Linked DNA regions of Oryctolagus cuniculus. The protein of the gene in region 1 interacts with the protein of each later gene in a pairwise test. Links are inferred from orthologs where the notes say so. Each region holds a gene or a part of one and is shown in the gene's direction. Other genes may lie near its edges. The genes, in order: SEPTIN1, AMOT and AURKB.

The links.
Region 2: the proteins of SEPTIN1 (region 1) and AMOT interact in binary tests that used the Homo sapiens proteins (3 or more experiments, as listed by UniProt). The two-hybrid records come from large-scale screens. The link is inferred for Oryctolagus cuniculus from reciprocal best matches to the Homo sapiens genes SEPTIN1 and AMOT.
Region 3: the proteins of SEPTIN1 (region 1) and AURKB interact in binary tests that used the Homo sapiens proteins (3 or more experiments, as listed by UniProt). The link is inferred for Oryctolagus cuniculus from reciprocal best matches to the Homo sapiens genes SEPTIN1 and AURKB.

The regions. Positions count from the first base shown.
Region 1 is NC_091450.1:6,685,533-6,692,402, forward strand, and holds SEPTIN1 (septin-1), read left to right. Parts: upstream 1-2,850; coding exon 2,851-3,001; intron 3,002-3,098; coding exon 3,099-3,185; intron 3,186-3,377; coding exon 3,378-3,501; intron 3,502-4,208; coding exon 4,209-4,343; intron 4,344-4,452; coding exon 4,453-4,570; intron 4,571-5,115; coding exon 5,116-5,217; intron 5,218-5,312; coding exon 5,313-5,412; intron 5,413-5,550; coding exon 5,551-5,710; intron 5,711-5,887; coding exon 5,888-5,978; intron 5,979-6,095; coding exon 6,096-6,182; 3' UTR 6,183-6,456; downstream 6,457-6,870. Other genes in the region: MYL11 (myosin regulatory light chain 2, skeletal muscle isoform type 2), read right to left, coding at 6,656-6,760, 6,854-6,870. UniProt on the Homo sapiens protein: Filament-forming cytoskeletal GTPase. May play a role in cytokinesis.
Region 2 is NC_091453.1:80,572,351-80,578,427, forward strand, and holds part of AMOT (angiomotin), read left to right. Parts: intron 1-1,680; coding exon 1,681-1,803; intron 1,804-2,938; coding exon 2,939-3,171; intron 3,172-4,268; coding exon 4,269-4,985; intron 4,986-5,333; coding exon 5,334-5,431; 3' UTR 5,432-6,077.
Region 3 is NC_091448.1:52,687,484-52,694,131, reverse strand, and holds the start of AURKB (aurora kinase B), read left to right. Parts: upstream 1-2,649; 5' UTR 2,650-2,734; intron 2,735-2,998; exon of another isoform or gene 2,999-3,021; 5' UTR 3,022-3,046; coding exon 3,047-3,094; intron 3,095-4,471; coding exon 4,472-4,574; intron 4,575-4,677; coding exon 4,678-4,729; intron 4,730-4,895; coding exon 4,896-5,087; intron 5,088-5,212; coding exon 5,213-5,351; intron 5,352-5,460; coding exon 5,461-5,609; intron 5,610-6,370; coding exon 6,371-6,545; intron 6,546-6,648. UniProt on the Homo sapiens protein: Serine/threonine-protein kinase component of the chromosomal passenger complex (CPC), a complex that acts as a key regulator of mitosis.

The DNA.
Region 1 (6,870 bases):
GAAGCAGGCTAAGCCGCCCCCCCACCCCTGATCACCCCTATAAAAGATTCAGCCACCAATGGGGCTCAGGTTACTGCTTAAGGACGCACTTTCTTTCCAAGGATCAACTTCAGCTTTGCTGTTTGTCTGAGCCTCCTCCTCCCATGCACTGTATGAGGTTCCATGTCCCTGCTTTCTGGCCCTGGGCTCCCACAATCCTGTTGCCTCCCAGGGCGTGTGCTAACGGGCAGCTGGCACCTGAGGCAGAGCTGGGACCAGAAGCAGGCTCTTCCCTGTAGAGGGACCGAGGGACGTGGGCTTCGAGGCTGCGCCGCACACCTGGCTCCGGGCTGATTTCCTACCAGTTACTCCAAGAGACAGGGCTTTAGTGGTGGGGGCGGGGGACACAGTTCAGTGCATAACAGCTAAGAGGGGAATAATAAATAGAACCGAAAGGAGAGGAGTAAAGAAAATGGGGTTGGTGAGGCAGGCGGGATCCAGATGAAGCCGCGGTAAAGGAGACCAGCATCAGGGGCTCTGAGGTTAACGCACACACCAAAGGGAACCCAGCTCCTCAATGCTAAACTCACAGTTGGATAAATAACCGCTGGCCTCCAAGGCCAAAGTCATTCCTTCGAAAATGGAGCGCCGATAACAGAGCTGAAATGCATTTCATTTTACAAGCTGGAAACTGGTTCAGAGAGGTCATGTTACTTACCCAAGGTCACACAGCAAGTAAGCAGAGAGCTGAGGTCTAGGGAGTTCTTCCTTTTTCTCTCTCTCCGTCTCCCTCTCTCTCTCCTTTTAGAGATATGTTTCCTGTTCTTTATAAAGTGGTAGGTTTTTTTTTTTTTTTTTTAAGATGTATTTGTTTATTTGAAAGGCAAAGTGACAGAGAGGGAAGGAGAGACAGAGATCTTCCATCTGCTGGTTCATTCCCCAAATGCCTGCAACAGCAGTGAAGGGGCGGGGGTGGCTGGGCCAGTCCCTGGCCAGGAGCCAGGAGCTCCATCTGGGTCTCCCACGTGAGTGGCAGAAACCCAAGTACTTGGGCCATCATCTGCTGGCCTGCCGGGGCTTCAGCAGGCAGCTGGGATTTAGCATGGAAGAGTTGGGACCGGAACCAAGCACTGGTTCTTTTTGTATGTTCTGCAGCCTCCAGCTAACTCCCTATAGCCGTTCTTCCAGGCACCCTGTGCATCTAAAATACTGTTTCTTGGTCTTTCTATGTGCCAGGCCCCCTGCACAAGACACCGGGGAATCCAGAAAGCAGAAGATGGGGCATTTGCCCTCGGAGTGCTCAGCCTGGGTGGGCATGGCAGGAGCTGTGACAGTGCTGGGGAGGCTACAGGAAGCAGAATGACTCTGCGGGGGTGGGGGACAGCCGGAGACCACTTCAGGGGAGGAGGCAGAGCCCCTTTGGATAAAGAGGCGCGAGGCGCGCACCTGGGAGAGCTGAGCGCGTTTGGGTGATGAGAGACAGGTGAGGAAGCCAGCGCCCGGAGGCTTCCGCTGCCACAGGCCCAGAGCTTGCACTTGACTTTGAGGTCACTGGGCAGGCCCTGAAGGAGTCTGATTGGGCCGGGCTAGGGGGTTCTGAAGCAAGGTCTCTGGCTGCGGAACCCCAAGACTTGGAGTCCTTTCAAGAATTCATTCAATCTACCGCACAAGCAAGAAAATTGCTGGTCCCTCCCACCTTGGTCCCATTTATAGCTTCTGGTCCACTCAGACCCTGGGGACTTTATTATTAGTATTACTGGGAAAGGCAGAGTGATGCAGAGAGAGAGAGAGAGAGAGAGAGAGAGAGAGAGAGAGAGAGAGAGAGAGGCTGGTGGTGTGGCACAGTGGATTAAAATGCTGCCTGCAATGCTAGCATCCTGGTTTGGGTCCCAGCTGCTCCACTTCCGATGCAGCTCCCTGCTGATGCACCTGGGAAAGCAGCAGAGGATGGCCCGAGTGCTTGGGCCCCTGCACCCACATGGGAGACCCAAATGGAGTTCCAGGCTCCTGGCTTCAGCCTGGGCCAACCCCAGCTGTTGCGGCCATTGGGGGAGTGAACCAGCAGATGGAAGATCTCTCTCCCTCCCTCTCTCTCTCTCTCTCTCTCTCTGTAAGGCTGCCTTTCAAATAAAGAAAGAGAGAGAGATCTTTCATCCGTCCTCTGGTTTACTCCCCAAATGCCTGCAACATTCATAGCCAGGCAGACCTAAAGCCAGCAGCCCAGAGCTCAACCCAGATCTCACACGTGCAGGAAGGGCGCTGTCTGAGCCATCCCTGCTGCCTCCCAGGCACAGGTCGGCAGGCAGCTGGATTGAGAGGAGACCAAGGACTCTGACAGGCGAGGTGCGGCTTACCCAGCTGCACCAGCATGCCCAGCACGCCCACCCTGGAACGTTTCTAAACCATCCTGTCAAAGCCTTCCTCTCACCTGCTACGGACAGCGGCTGGCTTCCTTCCTCTCTGCCCGCACCCCGCCTCTCACCATGGTAAGGGGGGCTACTGAGGGGCTTGAAATAAAGCTGTGTGGAGAATGGAGGGGCCGAAGCTGCCTGAGGGATGATGGGAAACAGGGTGCAGGTGGGGGGACCCCCAGGTTCCCTTGGTCTTGGCTTCCCCCAGCTCTCTGCTCTGGGCGGGTTCTGAGCATCTGAGCTGCCTACCCTGCCCTCCCCCTCGCTGGCTGCACTCAACTTCCTGTCCCACCAGAGGAAGTGGGGTGCGACAGCAGGTGCAGCGACAGCTCGGGGAGCCATGGTGAGTCCTTGTGCCCAGGAACCCAGGCGTCTCGGCCCCTGGGCCCCTACCCCCAGGGTCGCTAGCCCCAGGTTGATCTACAGGGGGGTGTTTCTCCCCAGCCTCTGAGCTTAAGGGATGCGGGGGGTGTTGCCTGCCACTCCTAGCGCCTTCAACGGTCCCCCCACCCCACAGCAGGACAAGGAGTACGTAGGTTTCGCCGCCCTCCCCAACCAGCTGCATCGCAAGTCCGTCAAGAAGGGGTTTGACTTCACACTCATGGTGGCAGGTTTGCAGAGGAAGCGTGGGGGAGGGGGCTGCCCTTAAGAGACACCCCCCCCCCCGGCTGTCCCTTCAACAACCAAGTGGGTCTGTGCTGTCCACAGGGGAATCAGGCCTGGGGAAATCCACCCTCATCAACAGCCTGTTCCTCACCAACCTCTACGAGGAGCGGCAGGTGCCAGAAGTCAGCGGTGAGAGGCCCCACGTTGCAAGTGTTGCCTTTCCATCCGGGGACTTGGGCAACCACTGCCCCCCCCCCTTTTTTCTCCTCTCTGGGAAAATGGGTGGAGGCAGCGGTTATGCTGGGAAAGGACATGAGCACTGCTCAGACCCCTAAACAGCTCCCAGACCTCCACCCCTACCCCCCACCCTCGTCCTCACAGCTCGCTTGGCCCAAACACTGACCATCGAGCGCCGGGGCGTGGAGATCGAGGAGGGCGGTGTTAAAGTGAAGCTGACCCTGGTGGACACGCCTGGCTTTGGGGATGCAGTGGACTGCTCCGACTGGTGAGGGGGAGGAGAGGGGAGGGGGCCCAGGGGGTGGGGTGGGCACCTAGGGAGCAGTTACAGAGCCGATCTGTCCCGGCTCCCTGACCCAAAAGGTGACACCTGTTTCTGGGGACTATCTGGCCCAAGGTGCCCTGTGCTTTAAATATATATTTAAAAATATATATATATGGGCAATCATTTGGTGCAGTGGTTAAAGATGCCACTTGGGAGGCCCAGGATCCCCCTGGGTTTGGGCCCTGAATCTGCTTCTCATTGTGTCCTGCTAAAGTGCACCGGGGAGGCAGCGGGTAAGGGCTCAAGTGCCTGGGTCCCTGGCACCTGGAGATCCAGATGGAGCTCCAGGCTCTTGGCTTCAGCCTGGCCCTGTCCTCAAATGCAGGGATTTGAGGAGGGAACCACTGCATGAGAGATCTCTGTCTGTCAAATAAAATGAGCAGAAGTCTTAAACATATATTTAGTTTTAATTAACACATAGTAATTGGACATGCATTGTGGGCCAGAGGATGATGGATGGAGAGACCCCCGTACTCAGAGCCATTCCTTACCCGCTGCCTGCACCCTGCTGCGCCAGCGCCAGCCCCTTCTCAATGCCTTTTAATGGAGGCTGAGAAACCACTTCTTCCCCCTACAGTCCTTGCTAGCCCCGCCCCCTTCCCTGCCTGCAGCCTCTGACCTCTGACCTCTGACCATCTCCCACCTCCCAGCTGGCTGCCGGTGGTGCGCTACATCGAGGAGCAGTTTGAACAGTATCTCCGGGACGAGAGTGGCCTGAACCGGAAGAACATCCAGGATTCCCGAGTCCACTGCTGCCTCTACTTCATCTCGCCCTTCGGCCGGGGGTCTGGGGGAACCCCCTGGGAGCTGGGGCATTTGGAGAGGGCTTTGGGGGCGGGGGTGGGGGATGTCTCTGCACCCCGGGGCTGGGCCCTGACCAACGCCTGGCTGCAGGCTCCGGCCCCTGGACGTGGCCTTCCTGCGGGCAGTGCACGAGAAAGTCAACATCGTCCCTGTCATTGGCAAGGCAGACGCCCTGACGCCTGAGGAGACCCAGGCCCTCAAGCAGAAGGTATGGCTGCTGGTGACCCCTGGCCTTTTGGGGCCCCAAGCAAAGCCAAAGTCCTGATCAAGCTTGAACTTGAGCTTTGGCTTGGCTTTGATCTTGGATGGCTGTTTGGGAGGATGACCAGTTAGGCGGGCTGTGGGGGTGACTGAGGAGGGTGGCACGAAGCTGCCAGGGGAAAGCCTCGTCTCTGGAGGTTGAGAACCCGGTGAATACGCAGGCCTGTCTGGAGGCTGGGGCATAGCCATGATGACCTCTGACCTCTCTCTGGCCCCATGAAGCTCTGCCCCCCACTCCCCACTGTCTTCAGAGCCCTCCTCCGCTGTTTACACAAGTGACCACCTCATCTTAGGATTTTGTTTGTTTCTCAAACCTCTATGTGCCCGAGATTCTGGTGCTGGTCATTCCCTACAGTCAGATTTCACCATCTCTGTCTCTGCGTGTCCCTCTCTGGTCTCTGACCACCGGGTGTAACTCTGGGTCTCTGGCCATGCACTGTCTTGCACTCATGCCCCGTGTTCCTCGCTGTCTCTGCCTCTGTCTCCCTGGAGATCCGGGACCAGTTGCAGGAGGAGGAGATCAACATCTACCAGTTCCCGGAATGCGACTCCGATGAGGACGAAGACTTCAAGAGGCAGGATGCAGAAATGAAGGTGCCGGGGGCATGGGGGGCAGCGGCCGCCGGGAAAGGGGTTCCTCCCCCCACCCCACAGGGGCCAGCGGTGACCCCTTGACCCCCGCCCTCCAGAACAGCATCCCTTTCGCGGTTGTGGGTTCCTGCGAGGTGGTGAGGGATGGCGGGACCCGACCAGTGAGGGGACGCCGCTACTCCTGGGGTACCGTGGAAGGTGAGTGACCCCCGGGCCACTTGCGAATCCGCGGGGCCCGACACGGGCTTTCGGGGTGGGCTGCGCTCCCCAGGAGGCCCTAGGGCTGCAGGCTGGGCAGACCCGAGTTCTCTTGTCGCTCGCTGGCCCGCCCCCCAGTGGAGAACCCACACCACTGCGATTTCCTGAACCTGAGACGCATGCTGGTGCAGACGCACCTGCAGGACCTGAAGGAGGTGACGCACGATCTGCTTTACGAGGGCTACCGGGCCCGCTGTCTACAGAGCCTGGCCCGGCCCGGGGCCCGAGCCAGCCGCAGGTGAGCGCTGCCAAGCCCCCGCCCCCGCCCCCGCCCCGGCCCCGCCTGTGTCGCCCAGGCCTCGCTCTTCGACTTTCTCCACCCACTGCGCCTCGGGTCCGGCTCTCAGGCGGCTAGATCCCCGCCTCTCGGCCTCGACACCCCTGACTCCCATGCCCCTCTCCCGCTGCCCCCCAGTAAGCTCTCCCGCCAGAGCGCCACGGAAATCCCTCTGCCCATGCTGCCCCTGGCCGAGACGGAGAAGTTGATCCGCGAGAAAGACGAGGAGGTGAGCCGGCGCCTCGCCTCCCACCCCCCACTCCCCCCGACTCGAGGCCCCAGGTCCTCCTGGAAGGGCGCCTCCGGCCTCGCGCGGTCCCACCGCCCGCACTCTCGTCCCGCACAGCTGCGCCGCATGCAGGAGATGTTGGAGAAGATGCAGGCCCAGATGCAGCAGAGCCAGGCTCAGGGCGAGCAGTCGGACGCTCTCTGAGGACCCCCGCCCCGGCCCTGACTTACCTCGGCTCCGCCTTCGGTCTCTCTCTCGTCCAATCCCGGGTCCTACACTGCCCAGCGCCTAAGCCCGGAGCCCCCCGCCGGCAGACCCGCCCTGGCGTCCGCTTTGTTGCGGGCTCCCGGGCCGAACGCCTGCCTCTCCCCCGGCCCGGAGTTGGCGGCCCCGCCCCCGCCCCGCCCCGTCCCCCGGCGCCGCCCCTCCGGGCCCGAGCGTTCGCTGACTGAATAAAGACGGCGCGCCCCCCACCCCAGCCCCCGCCCCGAGCTTCCTTGCGAGCGGGAACGAGCCTCCGCGGGGCGCGAGCCCGCACGCCCCACCCCAGCCCGGCCGCCAGACACTGCGGGGGACGCCACCCATAAGAAACAGAGACCAGCCGAATTTTATTGGGAGTCGGGGCGGGGGCTCGGGCTAGCCGGGAGCGCGGGTCAGCGGAGGCGCCAGACGCTCGCCTACTCCTGGTCCTTGGCGTCCCCGTGCGTGATGACGTAGCAGATGTTCTTGTAGTCCACGTTGCCGCCCACGTCCGGGGGGAAGGCCGCCCACATGTTCTTGATCTGCGAGAGAGACGCGGGCAGCAGCTCGCAGCGATCCCGACGCGACCCCTCCCCGCCCGCCCCTTCGCCGCTGCGGGGCCCCTCCCTGCTCACCTCCTCCTGGGAGAAGC
Region 2 (6,077 bases), on another chromosome or scaffold:
TGATCTTCTGAGGTCTAAAAGTTGGTAGAGTACTTGGGAATGTTGGGATTTGAACCTAGTCTTGTCTATAATAAGAGCCCAAGCTCTTAAGCACTATGTGATGCTGCTTCCTCTTGGGTATCTAGTAGGACTAGAAAAAAGTGAATTACATGATAGGGAATATAGAATTTTGAGATATTACTGTATTTTCCAGAGTGAATTAGAGTAAAGTGTAGAATTCTGACATGTTAAAATATTTTGATTTGATTTCATCATCATTAAAAAAAATCATCTATTATTTTTCACTTTATGTTTCTGTGTGGGAGCAAACTGTTGAAATCCTTACTTAATGTATACTAAGCTGATCTTCTGTATATTAAGATAATCGAAAATGAATCTTGATGTGAATGGAAGGGGAGAGGGAGTGGGAAAGGGGAGGGTTGTGGGTGGGAGGGACGGTATGGGGGGGAAGCCATAGTAATCCATTATTCGTACTTTGGAAACGTATATTCATTAAATAAAAGTTAAAAAAAAATATTTTGATTTGAGCAAATGATGATCATTGTATTCCTTTTTCTTCTTGCTCTCCAGGTAGTTCATGGTTTCAAGAAATGGTTTCAACTTTGTACACAAGGTGCAAGCATTTTGGGGAATAGTAGCTTTGCAGAGATTCACAGAATTTCCCAACCATAACATCAACTTTCTGCTTCTTCCCTTGCCACTTCATCCCTTTCTTCCCTGGTCACAATCTCAAAGCTAAGAGAATATAGTTGACTGCCAGCAGAAAATCTGCCTGGATTTTTCTCACAGATCGTCATTCTTGTAGGAAGTCTAAAGAAGCAGGGCCAGTTCATTGTTTTCTCAGCCTATTGTTTGATTTCCTTTAAGATTAATGTAATTATACCAATATTTTCCCTTAGTCCTGATTTCTCTCTCTCTCTCTCTCTCTCTCTCTCTCTCTCACACACACACACACACACACACACACAGAGAGAGAGGCATATGTTTTCCCTTATTAATTGGTCTTTGAATTAATGGCCTGAGACATTTTCAGATGGAACATGATGGTCCCTTATACAGTTTGGACTTTGGCAAGAGAGCAGTCACTTAGGGTAGACTCATTGATTTGGTGCAGAATGTTTCAGATTTAGATTACATAGGAACCCCCATTGTTACACACCCAAAGACCCTCTTTTCAGCTCACATGGACTACCCAGTCTTTGTTGTTGACCTGTTCATTTGTTTCCAATGCTCAGGCATAGATCCCAACACTCATCTGTGGCAATAAGCTGACTTCCTTCAATGCCTACCCTTTTCCTTTTCATGATGGTCACTAGAATAAAGTAGAATGTAAACATATTCTTATTGTTTGGCCATGACCTAAAAACTTGAAGGACCATATTCCACAAGATTGGGGGTAGATATCTGTCCAGTTCTGAAGGCAAGCCTGTGTACATCTCATAGAATCTCTCAGTGACTCTTGCAGCTGCATCCATGCCAATAATCTCTTCATCTACTCTGGGAACTGAGACTTTTTTTCTTGGAAACTCCTACCAGTAAGTCACACAGAAACTAGCTGTTCCTAATGCGATTGACTTCAGCTTAGGGCTTTCCAGCAAAGCCTCCTTTACCTTGGGGTGGAGATAGCATTCATTTCTTTTGCTGCCCTCCTGTCATCATCACTGCCATTTTCCTCCCCAGGGATGCATCGGTCATCAGTCATTCTCCTAACACCAGTTATGACACAGCTCTTGAAGCTCGCATCCAGAAGGAGGAGGAAGAAATTTTGATGGCCAACAAGCGTTGCTTGGACATGGAGGGCAGGTATAAATGTCAATCTGGATGAAGATGAATCTGAGAATTTGGTGTAGAGACCAGATAGGTCAGTAGAGAAGGACACAGATATTTAGCGACAACTGGGAAGCCTGCTCACCCAGAATCCCCCTACCACCTTCACCTCTGCTAGCCTGTTACTTAGGGTTTGAGATGTGATGATCTTTACCTTGAAAATTCCTACCAATTGTTGAATTCTAAATAGTGTTGCTCTCCCCTATGCCTTCCTAATTGTGTTCCACCTGCCCTCTGCCAAAGTTCAAAGTTCAATTATTGGCATTTATACTCTGGATCATTCTTTGCAAAAAATATACCTTTAAGCCTATGATATAGCAGAATTCTTTTTTTTTTTTTTTTTGACAGGCAGAGTTAGACAGCAAGAGAGCGAGACAGACAGAAAGGTCTTCCTTCTGTTGGTTCACCCCCAAATGGCTGCTATGCCAGCGCGCTGTGCCGATCCGAAGCCAGGAACCAGGTGCCCCCTCTTGGGCTCCCATGTGGGTGCAGGGCCCAAGCACTTGGGCCATCCTCCACTGCCTTCCCGGGCCACAGCAGAGAGCTGGGCTGGAAGAGGAGCAACCGGGACAGAATCCGGCGCCCCAACCGGGACTGGAACCCAGAGTGCCGGTGCCGCAGGCAGAGGATTAGCCTAGTGAGCCACAGCACTGCTGATATAGCAGAATTCTTAATGAAAGAACATCCATTGAAACTGGGATGTAGGACTCCTGTTGCCTCCTGTAAACTTATAATCATTTATTATTACTGGAAGGCTATGGCTCATTAATAGAAGACCTCATCTTCTCATGGAACACATTGTTTTTGTTGACTCAAATTCTTCACAGCAGAGCCTGCCACACCAGTTCATTCTCTCCTACGTGGCCTTTCTTTTCACCAATACTTTACTTTGACCTTCTAAGGTGTAAGCAGCCACTCATAGATGCTCTACTGGGTGTTCAGGAAAACATTAAAAAAGTCATAGTACACCATTCCATAATATGCACTTCAGAATGAACTAGGCTACCCTTTAGTCAAAAAGAGAATGGGAAATCAAGTACTTGTAGGCAATGAGACCAGAACACAGAGGTAGCTCCAAGGTCTTTATATGTTTTTTGTCTTTGGTTCCTAGGATTAAGACCCTGCATGCCCAGATTATTGAGAAAGACGCCATGATCAAAGTTCTCCAGCAGCGTTCCAGGAAGGAGCCAAGTAAGACAGAGCAGCTGTCATCCATGAGGCCAGCGAAGTCTCTGATGTCTATTTCCAATGCTGGCTCAGGCTTACTCTCCCACTCATCCACCTTGACTGGCACCCCTATCATGGAAGAAAAACGGGAGGATAAGAGCTGGAAGGGGAGCCTAGGTAATGACAACTAAGGAAGATTATAGTCACACATTTAAAAAGATCTCCATATAGCAAGGAAAAAGGGTGACGCCCAGGTTCTAGAGAGGAAGATGTAGCTGGTCAGGATGTTTTCCTCCTGAATGGTTAACTACATATTGTAGAGCTCTGCCACACTGGGAAGTCTCATGGTGAGAACAATTAAAGAGGCCAGGGCCTGAGAAGATAAGAATTCTAAGTTCTTGGGTGGGAAGGGAGATAGCATCAGTGGCCTCTTAAAAATTTCTTCAATTTGGTCTTTGCTACACAGAATCCTTGTCCATGTCCAAAGCCCATGTGCCTCTTGTGCCATTCACAATTTCAAAATTCCAGCATTTCTTTGTTCTTTTCTCCCCTACAAGAGGACGACCCAGCATTCTACTTAATCAAAATCAATCTGGGTCGCAGGTTTTTGTTACCAGAACATTCTGATATGAGAACAGAATGTACTTTTTCCATTCCAAGCCTGTCCCTTCCATCCCCACTAATCAAAACCTCCAAAGTATTGTAGATACCATGGTACATTTTTAAAGCATGATGAAGGGAGTCATGTATATTTATTTACTTTAGCTCTTTGTGATGCTTTTTCACCTTTCTTGGTCCTCTGACACTTGCAAGTTCCTTTGCTTAGACCAGAGAAAGCATTTGGGAACCATGCTCATGTTCAGAACCATAGATCACACAATTAATAGCAGACTTATCTGTGTCTTAAGACTTCTTCCTCTGGTCATTTCCAGCTCTCTGGTAATGTGTGGTGTTGGTTATAAGTGGAACCGAGTGGAAGAATTCTTTCTAATCACCATTGGGAAAAATAAAACAGATACTCAGAACACTTCACTGTTTAATGTGTTGTGCTGGGAGTTGGATAATGAGGACCAGGGATCTTCCAAATCTAGAAGAAACCATTAGCCATGGTGGAAAATGCTGATAAGCCAACTCCTGAGTTTGCTGGAGGCAAAAAGGTTAAGAATTTAGGCCCACTCAAATTTCTCCTGAAGTCCTGAAGAGAAACAGATAATCAGATGTATGGATTAGAATACTGTATTGTTTCCTAACCTCTCTCCCTTGTTCATTTGCAGGCATTCTCCTGGGTGGAGACTACCGTGCTGAGTCTGTCCCTTCCACACCTTCGCCTGTGCCCCCCTCCACTCCCCTGCTCTCGGCTCACTCCAAGACAGGCAGCCGAGACTGCAGCACCCAAACTGAACGTGGACCGGAACCCAACAAGCCTGCAGCTGTTACTCCCATCTCTGTTCCTGCTCCAGTTGCTGCTGCCGCCACTGCTGCTGCCATCACTGCCAACACTGCCACTGCTGCCACCAACACCAACACCATGGTAGCTGCTGCTCCAGTCGCGGCTGCTGCTGTTGCTCCAGCTGCCACTGCTGTTGCTGCTGCCCCATCTCCAGCAACTGCTGCTGCTCTTACTGTTGCTGCTTCTCCAGCTGCTGCTGCTCAGATGCCAGCTGCTGCCTCTGCCACCACCGCCACTGCTGCTCCTGCTGCTGCTCTTGCTCCTGTTGCTGCTGTTGCTGCTGTTGCAGTTCAGGTTGCTCCAGCTGCTCCGGCTCCGGTTCTAGCTCCAGTTCCAGCCCCGGCTCTGGCCCCAGCAGTGGCTCAGGCTTCTGCTCCGACTCAGACTCAGGCACCAACTCCTGCTCCGACTGTGGCTCCTCCTGCATCTCCAGCTCCAGCTCCAGCTTTGGCTCAGGCTGAGGCTCCTGCAAGTCCAGCCACTGGTTCTGGATCACGTCGTTTGTCTATACCAAGTTTGACTTGCAATTCAGATAAGACAGGTAATAATTCTCTACAGCAGGGAGCTTTTGGTACGGCTCTCAAAACGCAGGTTGATTTGTGGGTACCTGCTGCTCAGGCAGAGATGGTCATCTGGACTGAGCCCTTCATGTTGTAATGGGGAGCCATTAGAGGAGGGGAGAGGGTCTACAGATGATTTCTCTTCCACTGAGACAGGAATGGGCATGAGTAGAAGCCATTTTCCCAGTAGAAGTAAATGGGGGTGAGGGGGTGGCACTCAAGGCTCAATTTACCCTTACCTCCACGAGGGCTCTAATGCTGTCTGTTTCTAGAAAATTGAGCTTTTTAAATATCCTTATAAGTATCTTCAACACCTTATTTTCATTCAGATGGCCCTGTTTTCCACTCCAATACTCTGGAAAGAAAAGCACCCCTTCAGATCCTGGGACAAGAGCCTGAAGCAGAGATGGTGGAATATCTCATCTAAATGACCTTATCAAGAGCTGGAGTTTATCAGAAACAATGCTTTTAATCATTTCCCCCTTTTGTTTGTTCTTATTTTTAGGGTGAGGATAAGGGTTGGGGGGTGGGTATGTTTTCTAAAGGGACTTTTTATTGGAACAATATAGTACTTAAGTAATACCATATGAACTTCAGTCTATTCTGGTATACTCCGAAAGTACCTCTAAAGACAGACTCATCAGAATGTGTTCTGAAGTCTGTTGTTTGCATTAGTACAAAACTGGGACTGTTACCAGGTGGATATACAGTGATGTTTTCAGTGTGCTTAAATTTGTTTAAAATTTCCCTCTTCCAGATTATTTTCTATTGAAGAGCACAGCATGTGTGAAAGACAGTGTATAACATGTAGTGCAGACATGGAAAGCCAGAGAGAGTTCATGTGTGTGCTGTTTTGTGCAGTTACCAACTGGATAGCAGCCAGAGAAAGCTCTCACCTCAGGCTCATGAAAGGGAATAGTTTTAAGAGCTTATGTAAGCTGGAGAACAGGTGGGGAGCACTGGGATACAGAAAGATGCTAGAGCTAATTTTCCCTCTCAGTTTCCCAGCTACCTTGCCCCAAGGGATTGTGTTGATCTTCATTTCAGTGGTGCTTTGGAAGTGGGTTCTTTTG
Region 3 (6,648 bases), on another chromosome or scaffold:
CCACGCTGCGCGTCTTCAGCTAACTCAGTAACAGACTGAGAGCGTGGGCCGCGGGGACACCGTCCCCACGTCTCCTCCCCAGAAAAACAGGCCCAAATGCGTGAAGCCGCCTCTGCAGCGCGCGAGCCCCAGGCGTCCCGAGGCCGCAGAACTGGGCTGGAACCAGCGGCGCCCTGGCACGGCCCGCACCCAGACGCCGAGTTTAAACCCCACGTGCGTTCGCGCGCGGCCGTGGAGGCGGGGCGTGAGGCTGGAGACTCCGCCCCTCGCTGCTGACGAGATGTCGGTTCACACGACCCGTCAGGCTACTGACTCACAGCGGCCTCGTGGCGCAACGGTAGCGCGTCTGACTCCAGATCAGAAGGTTGCGTGTTCAAATCACGTCGGGGTCACGGGAGACACTCATTTTCGGCTAAGAGCTGTCTTTTCCAAGACAATGGAAAGAAATTCCTGGAAGATTTGTTACATGGGAAAAATAGGAACCTCAGTGTGTCTGCAACATTTTCCTAAAGTGTCTGGATTTTCTCCTAAAATACAGCTGTGGGTACATTTATTTCACTTCACTGTTTCCATCAAATCAATCAATTAATATAGTAATACCTTTAACCTCGTGAGTACGTCAGGTATCCTAACACAGAAATTGTTCAGGAACAACCCACAATTCTGGTTCCCATTTGGAGCAACAAATGTTCTCTCTTAGAAAGAATGTAGTAATAATTAATCATTGTGAAAGCAATAATACTCACATCATTCTCCTAATCACTGTTTTCATTTTTGGCGATTTACCTACTTGTCAGTGGTGCCCGTAACTTGTCCTCGGTTAATGTCATTCAATGCAATAAAATATAGCTCTACAGTCCTTATCTTTTTAATGGCCACCTAACGTCTGATGGCAGTTCTGCGAATTCTTAAACAGCTCTTCCACAGCTCGGTAGTTTGGTTTTCTGATGATCTGCACTTTTTTTCTTAGTATTTAAAAGGTTGCCCTGAGCATCTTTGTGATTCATTTTTACTCTGCCCCTACCGAATTAGGTTTGTGGCATAAATTCCTGAAACTTCCAAGTTCCCAAGTAAAAGGTCCCCTTAGCTGAACTGCCAACTGCTGCTGTCCAAAGGGCCGTACGACTTTCCCAAAGGTGATCTATTCATTATTTTGCTCTTTTTAATAATTTTTTTTCTTGTGTTCAGAATTCGGGTCCACGTTTTTTAAGTGTTTTCAATGATCTCTGATGCTCTATCTTTGTCAACTTAGCATGGAACACAAGGCATTAAATACTACTGTTAGCTGTCTCCAGATTTCTCAGAGGGCGCTAGCCTGGAGGCGTATGTATCTCCTTGCTTCTACTACGCTGAAAGTAAACAACAGAAAAACAAAGAAATGCAGCCCGGCCGCCCAGCGCCCAGCGAGCCTGGCCCTCCTTTTCTTGCCATCTCTTTCCTTGACTGATAGTGCCTTTGCTGGTGAGGCAGGCTTGGGTGGCTGGCAAGGAATGTGTCCTACCTCCCCGCCGTCCACACGGCACCCGCTGTCCAGGCTGGAACCTGGGCCTTGCCCTCCGCTCCCCTCCGCTCCGTCGCCCCTGGCCCTCCTCCTGCCAGAGTGGTCCCAATGTCTAGGGCGTCCTATAGAGCGAGACGGAGGCGGACAGGAGAGGGTGTGAGGCTAGCCCCCGACACGCCCGCTGCCCTCGCTGCCCATCCAAACTCGAGCCCCTGACTTGCGTTAGTTATTCTATAAGAAGACGCAAAGAGGCAATCCGTCTTCTCGCCTACATGTCTCTCTCTCTCACACACACACACCCATAACAAAATAGGAAGAAGTGCACATGAGAATCACACTCATTATTTCCGCAGCTGGTCACAAGGTCGTAGCTGGTATCTATAACCACCTTCCCGCTACCCCTTCCATATTACCCTCTAATTTCAGCAAACACCTCCTTCGCTGGTCGCCCCGAGCCTTTGCCCCTGGAGGGTCTCAGCCACCGCCATTTTGCATTCGTGAGTGTCGGTTAACACCTTAACTCAGGCCTGAAGTCCCACAGCATCCTGGTGGGAGCCGCGGCCCCATGCAGGAACCCGGCTTGCTGCTCCTCCTGGACTACCCTACCTACTGCCAAGCCTGCCCCGCACGGGGACAGCGGGCCTCTGGCTGCCGCCAGTGTAGACGCGAGGCACCGAACGCCTGCCTTGCTCACCAGGCTCACCACTTCCACCCGTCACTCAGCCCGTGGCAGGCAGGAGAGGACACTCGGCCCAGGCCACAGTCGCCGTTTCTTCCTGGCTAGCGCCTGCAGCTACTCGATGCACCTTTGTTCGGGTTTGAAGACCCGGTCCCCCCGCACGGGGACCCAAGGCCCGCGTTTAAATCCCGCTGGGAACCGGGGCAGCTCGCTTCACCCACGGTGCCGGCATCGGCGGCCCGGAAGGAAACGAACTTCGATCCTGGCTCACACAGTCTCCGTTTATATTAAAAATTCACACTTTTAAAAACGAAGAGAAAGCAAAAACTCCTCTCCCCGGGTCACCGGGGGAACTTTTCCCAAACCGGAACGGAGTCGGCGGCGGCTCGCCTTCCGCGGTTCCCATTGGGTCCCCTTGGCTACGTCATAGGTGAGAGATCCAATGAGAATTGGGCGAGGGTGGCGCCGGCAGCCAATGGGGCCAGAGCGGGAGATTTGAAAGCGCCTCGGCGGAGGCGCTGCCCGGCAGGTTCGGTAGTTCCCGGCGGCCTCAGGTGAGCCGGCCTCCGTTCGCGGGCCTCGGCCCGGTGCGGCCAGGGGCTCAGGCGGATCGCGGGGCTCCTGAGCGCTCAGGGGTGGAGAGAGAGGGTCCTGGAAGGGGGCTGGGCGGGTCCCGGCGCCGGGGCTGCGGGACGAGCGTCCGGGGTGTGGCCAGCCCTCTCGCCAGCCCGGACGGCGCTTCTGGCTGGATCCATCCGATCCCACCGCTGGTTTTTTTTTTTTTTTTTTTTTTTTTAATTCCCCTTTCTGCTTCTCAGGACTCTTTCCCTTCTCCGCCCAGGCGCCCTCCCCGCTACCCCGTGAGGATGGCCCAGAAGGAGAACGCCTACCCCTGGCCCTACAGCCGACCCACGGTAAGGCCACCCCGCCCCGCGGGACGCGCTGGACCACCCCCTCGGCACCGCCTGCCCCCTTATGCCCTAAGCGTGTTTTGTTCCACTTGGCCATGCGTCGATCACTGTTGGGAAGCAGGTTTTCAGGGCCCCCGGAGCCGCCTCCTTCCGGCTGAACTTGTGCCGTCTATTGGTGAGGCTTTGGTTCTGGTCTGGTGGTGGAGGGTCCATGTCTCCCCTGTGCGCCGGCTGCCTCCCTCGCGGAGCACTGAGCGAGGCCATTAAGAGCGGGTCTGAATGAGCCGCCATTGTCACTGCCAAAAGGAAGAAGTCTGTCCTGAAGTGGCATTGGCTGCCTCCCTGGCCTCATCTAAGCTCTAATCGGCTGAGCTTGCCAGTGTGCTGACGCTGTGGGGTTGGTTGACCAGGCCCTCACCTGGCCCCTGGTGTGAGGGTTGGGGGAGCCGGTGCGGTGTCATGGACAGGACTACACAGACTAGACAGTCATGCCTGAGACGGTGGCACAGGCCAGGGCCAAGGAGGTGAAATGTTAGGTGTTGGGGAGGAGTCCCCTGTTTTTGGCCCACTTGGGTTATTATTATTATTTTTTAAGGATTTATTTATTTATTTGAAAGATACAGAGAGAGAGAGTTCTTCCATCCGCTGGTTCACTCCTCAAATGCTCGTGACAGGCAGAGCTGGGCCAGGCCGGAGCCAGGAGCTTCCTCTGGGTCTCCCACACCGGTGCAGGGGCCCAAGCACTTGGGCCATCCTCCACTGCTTTCCCAGATGTATGAGTAGGGAGCTGGATGGGAAGTGGAGGGCCCATATGGGATGCTGGCACTGCAGGTGGCTTTACCCGCTGCACCAGTGCCGCCCCCTGCCCCACCTCTAGGCAGAGTGGACAGTAAGAGAGAGAGAGAGAGACAGAGAGAAAGGTCTTCCTTTTGCCTTTGGTTCACCCTCCAATGGCCGCCACGGCCGGCACGCTGTGGCCGGTGCACCGCGCTGATCCGAAGCCAGGAGCCAGGTGCTTCTCCTGGTCTCCCGTGGGGTGCAGGGCCCAAGCACTTGGGCCATCCTCCACTGCACTCCCTGGCCACAGCAGAGAGCTGGCCTGGAAGAGGCGCAACCGGGACAGAATCCGGCGCCCTGACCGGGACTAGAACCTGGTGTGCCGGCGCCGCAGGCAGAGGATTAATAACCCATTTTAACATGAGACTCTGAACAGAGTCTTGGGGCTGGAGGCCAAAACTGTCGTATCAGGGTTTTTCTCAGCACTGGGGGTGGACAGCACGTGGGAAGCTGTTTAGGCAGGAGCAGAAAAGCTGCTCGCGGCACATTCCAGCCGGGTCCCTGGGACAAAGGCGCCCTGGCGCTCCGCCTTCTCCTCCTTAGCCTCAGTCTGGCCTGAACACTCTGCCTCAGAGAATCCTGCGGAAGGAGGCTGCCACCCCCTCTGCCCTTGTCCTCATGAACCGCTCCAACGCCCCGCCCACAGGCAAGTGGCCCAGGAGGGAAAGCAGGGACTGGGGAGCTGGAGTCTACGGGACGGGTAGGGAGGATGTCCCAGCAGGGTCTCACCTCTCCCGCTCTCTCCTTAGCTGTCCTTGGGCAGAAGGGGATGGAGAACAGCAGTGGGGCACCCAACTTCACGTGAGTGCTCCCAGCCTGGAGGTGGCCAGCGGGAAGGGACGGCCTGGGACCGGCAGAAGTGGGGGAGCCGCGGTGGAGGTGGGGGGGCTGAGGGAGTGGGGAGAAAGCAGACTCCTGGGCTGCCCGGCAGGCCGGCGCTGAGCTGTGTCCCCCACTTGCTGAGCAGGCGGCCCTTCACCATCGACGACTTCGAGATCGGCCGTCCTCTGGGCAAAGGCAAATTTGGAAACGTGTACTTGGCCCGGGAGAAGAAGAGCCATTTCATCGTGGCACTCAAGGTCCTCTTCAAGTCTCAGATCGAGAAAGAGGGTGTGGAGCACCAGCTGCGCAGGGAGATCGAGATCCAGGCGCACCTGCAGTACGCCCCCGCCCCGGGAGTCCAGACTGTGGCCCCTGAGAGCTGGGTCCAGTTCCCCAGCCTGGGCCCTATCATCTTCCCTTTATGCCCGGATGTGGCCTGAGGCCTCCTGTCTCCTGCTGCAGGCATCCCAACATTCTGCGTCTCTACAACTATTTCTACGACCGGAGGAGAATCTACCTGATCCTGGAGTACGCCCCGCGCGGCGAGCTGTACAAGGAGCTGCAGAAAAGCCGCACTTTTGACGAGCAGCGAACAGCCACGGTCGGGGCGGGTGGGCACCTGGGACCCCGGCTGGGGGCTTGAGGCTGGGGGCACGCTGCCTGTGGCCGCGGGGCTGTCCTTGTCTGACTGCCTGTCCCCGCCCTCCCAGATCATGGAGGAGCTGGCAGATGCCCTGCGCTACTGCCACGAGAAGAAAGTGATTCACAGGGACATCAAGCCGGAGAACCTGCTCCTGGGGCTGCAGGGGGAGCTGAAGATCGCGGATTTCGGCTGGTCTGTGCACGCGCCCTCCCTGCGGTACGTGGCGCTGGGAAGCCGGCCCTGGCAGGCGGCACCTCTGGGCAATCCCGGTAGGAAAGTAGGAGACGCATAGTTCTGACCCCAGGTGCTTCCCACCCTTCTTTTTTTTTTTTTTTTTTTTTTTTTTACGGGCAGGGTGGACAGTGAGAGACAGAGAGAAAGGTCTTCCTTTGCCGTTGGTTCACCCTCCAATGGCCGCCGCGGCCGGCACGCTGCAGCCGGTGCACCGCGCTGATCCGAAGCCAGGAGCCCAGTACTTCTGGTCTCCCATGGGGTGCAGGGCCCAAGCACTTGGGCCATCCTCCACTGTACTCCCTGGCCACAGCAGAGAGCTAGCCTGGAAGAGGGGCAACCGGGACAGAATCTGGCACCCCGACCGGGACTAGAACCCGGATGTGCCGGCGTCACAGGCGGAGGATAAGCCTAGTGAGCCGCGGCGCCGGCCCACCCTTCATTTCTAATGCCAGTGGAGAAGCACCCCGAGCTACTTAAGCAGAACCCGCTTGGCGGGCATGAGAGAGGCCTCCAGGGTTTCTTCCCCACGTCAGCACTGCCCTCCTGCCTTATCTGTTTTAGTCCCCCAGTGGAAGTACTGGGGGGCAATGTGGAGGCCACCGGCCCACCCCATCCCCAGAGGCGTGACCTGGATGGAGCACTCCCCTGCTGCCTCCCAGGGTCTCTTGGCTGCCTGGGGGGGAGAGGGTGGATGAGCATGGTTGCCTGGTCCCAGGACCCCTGGCATGCCCTTCATCCCACAGGAGGAAGACGATGTGTGGCACCCTAGACTACCTGCCCCCCGAGATGATTGAGGGGCGCACGCACAATGAGAAGGTGGACTTGTGGTGCATCGGGGTGCTCTGCTACGAGCTGCTGGTGGGGAACCCGCCCTTTGAGAGCGCATCACACAACGAGACATACCGGCGCATCGTCAAGGTGGGTCACGCTGCCGGCGCTCCAGGCTGCAGAGGCCAGGGGCTGGGGAGGGCAGGGTTGGACGCGCGGGTCTTTGTGGCCACTGGGGTGGAACACAGGCGGT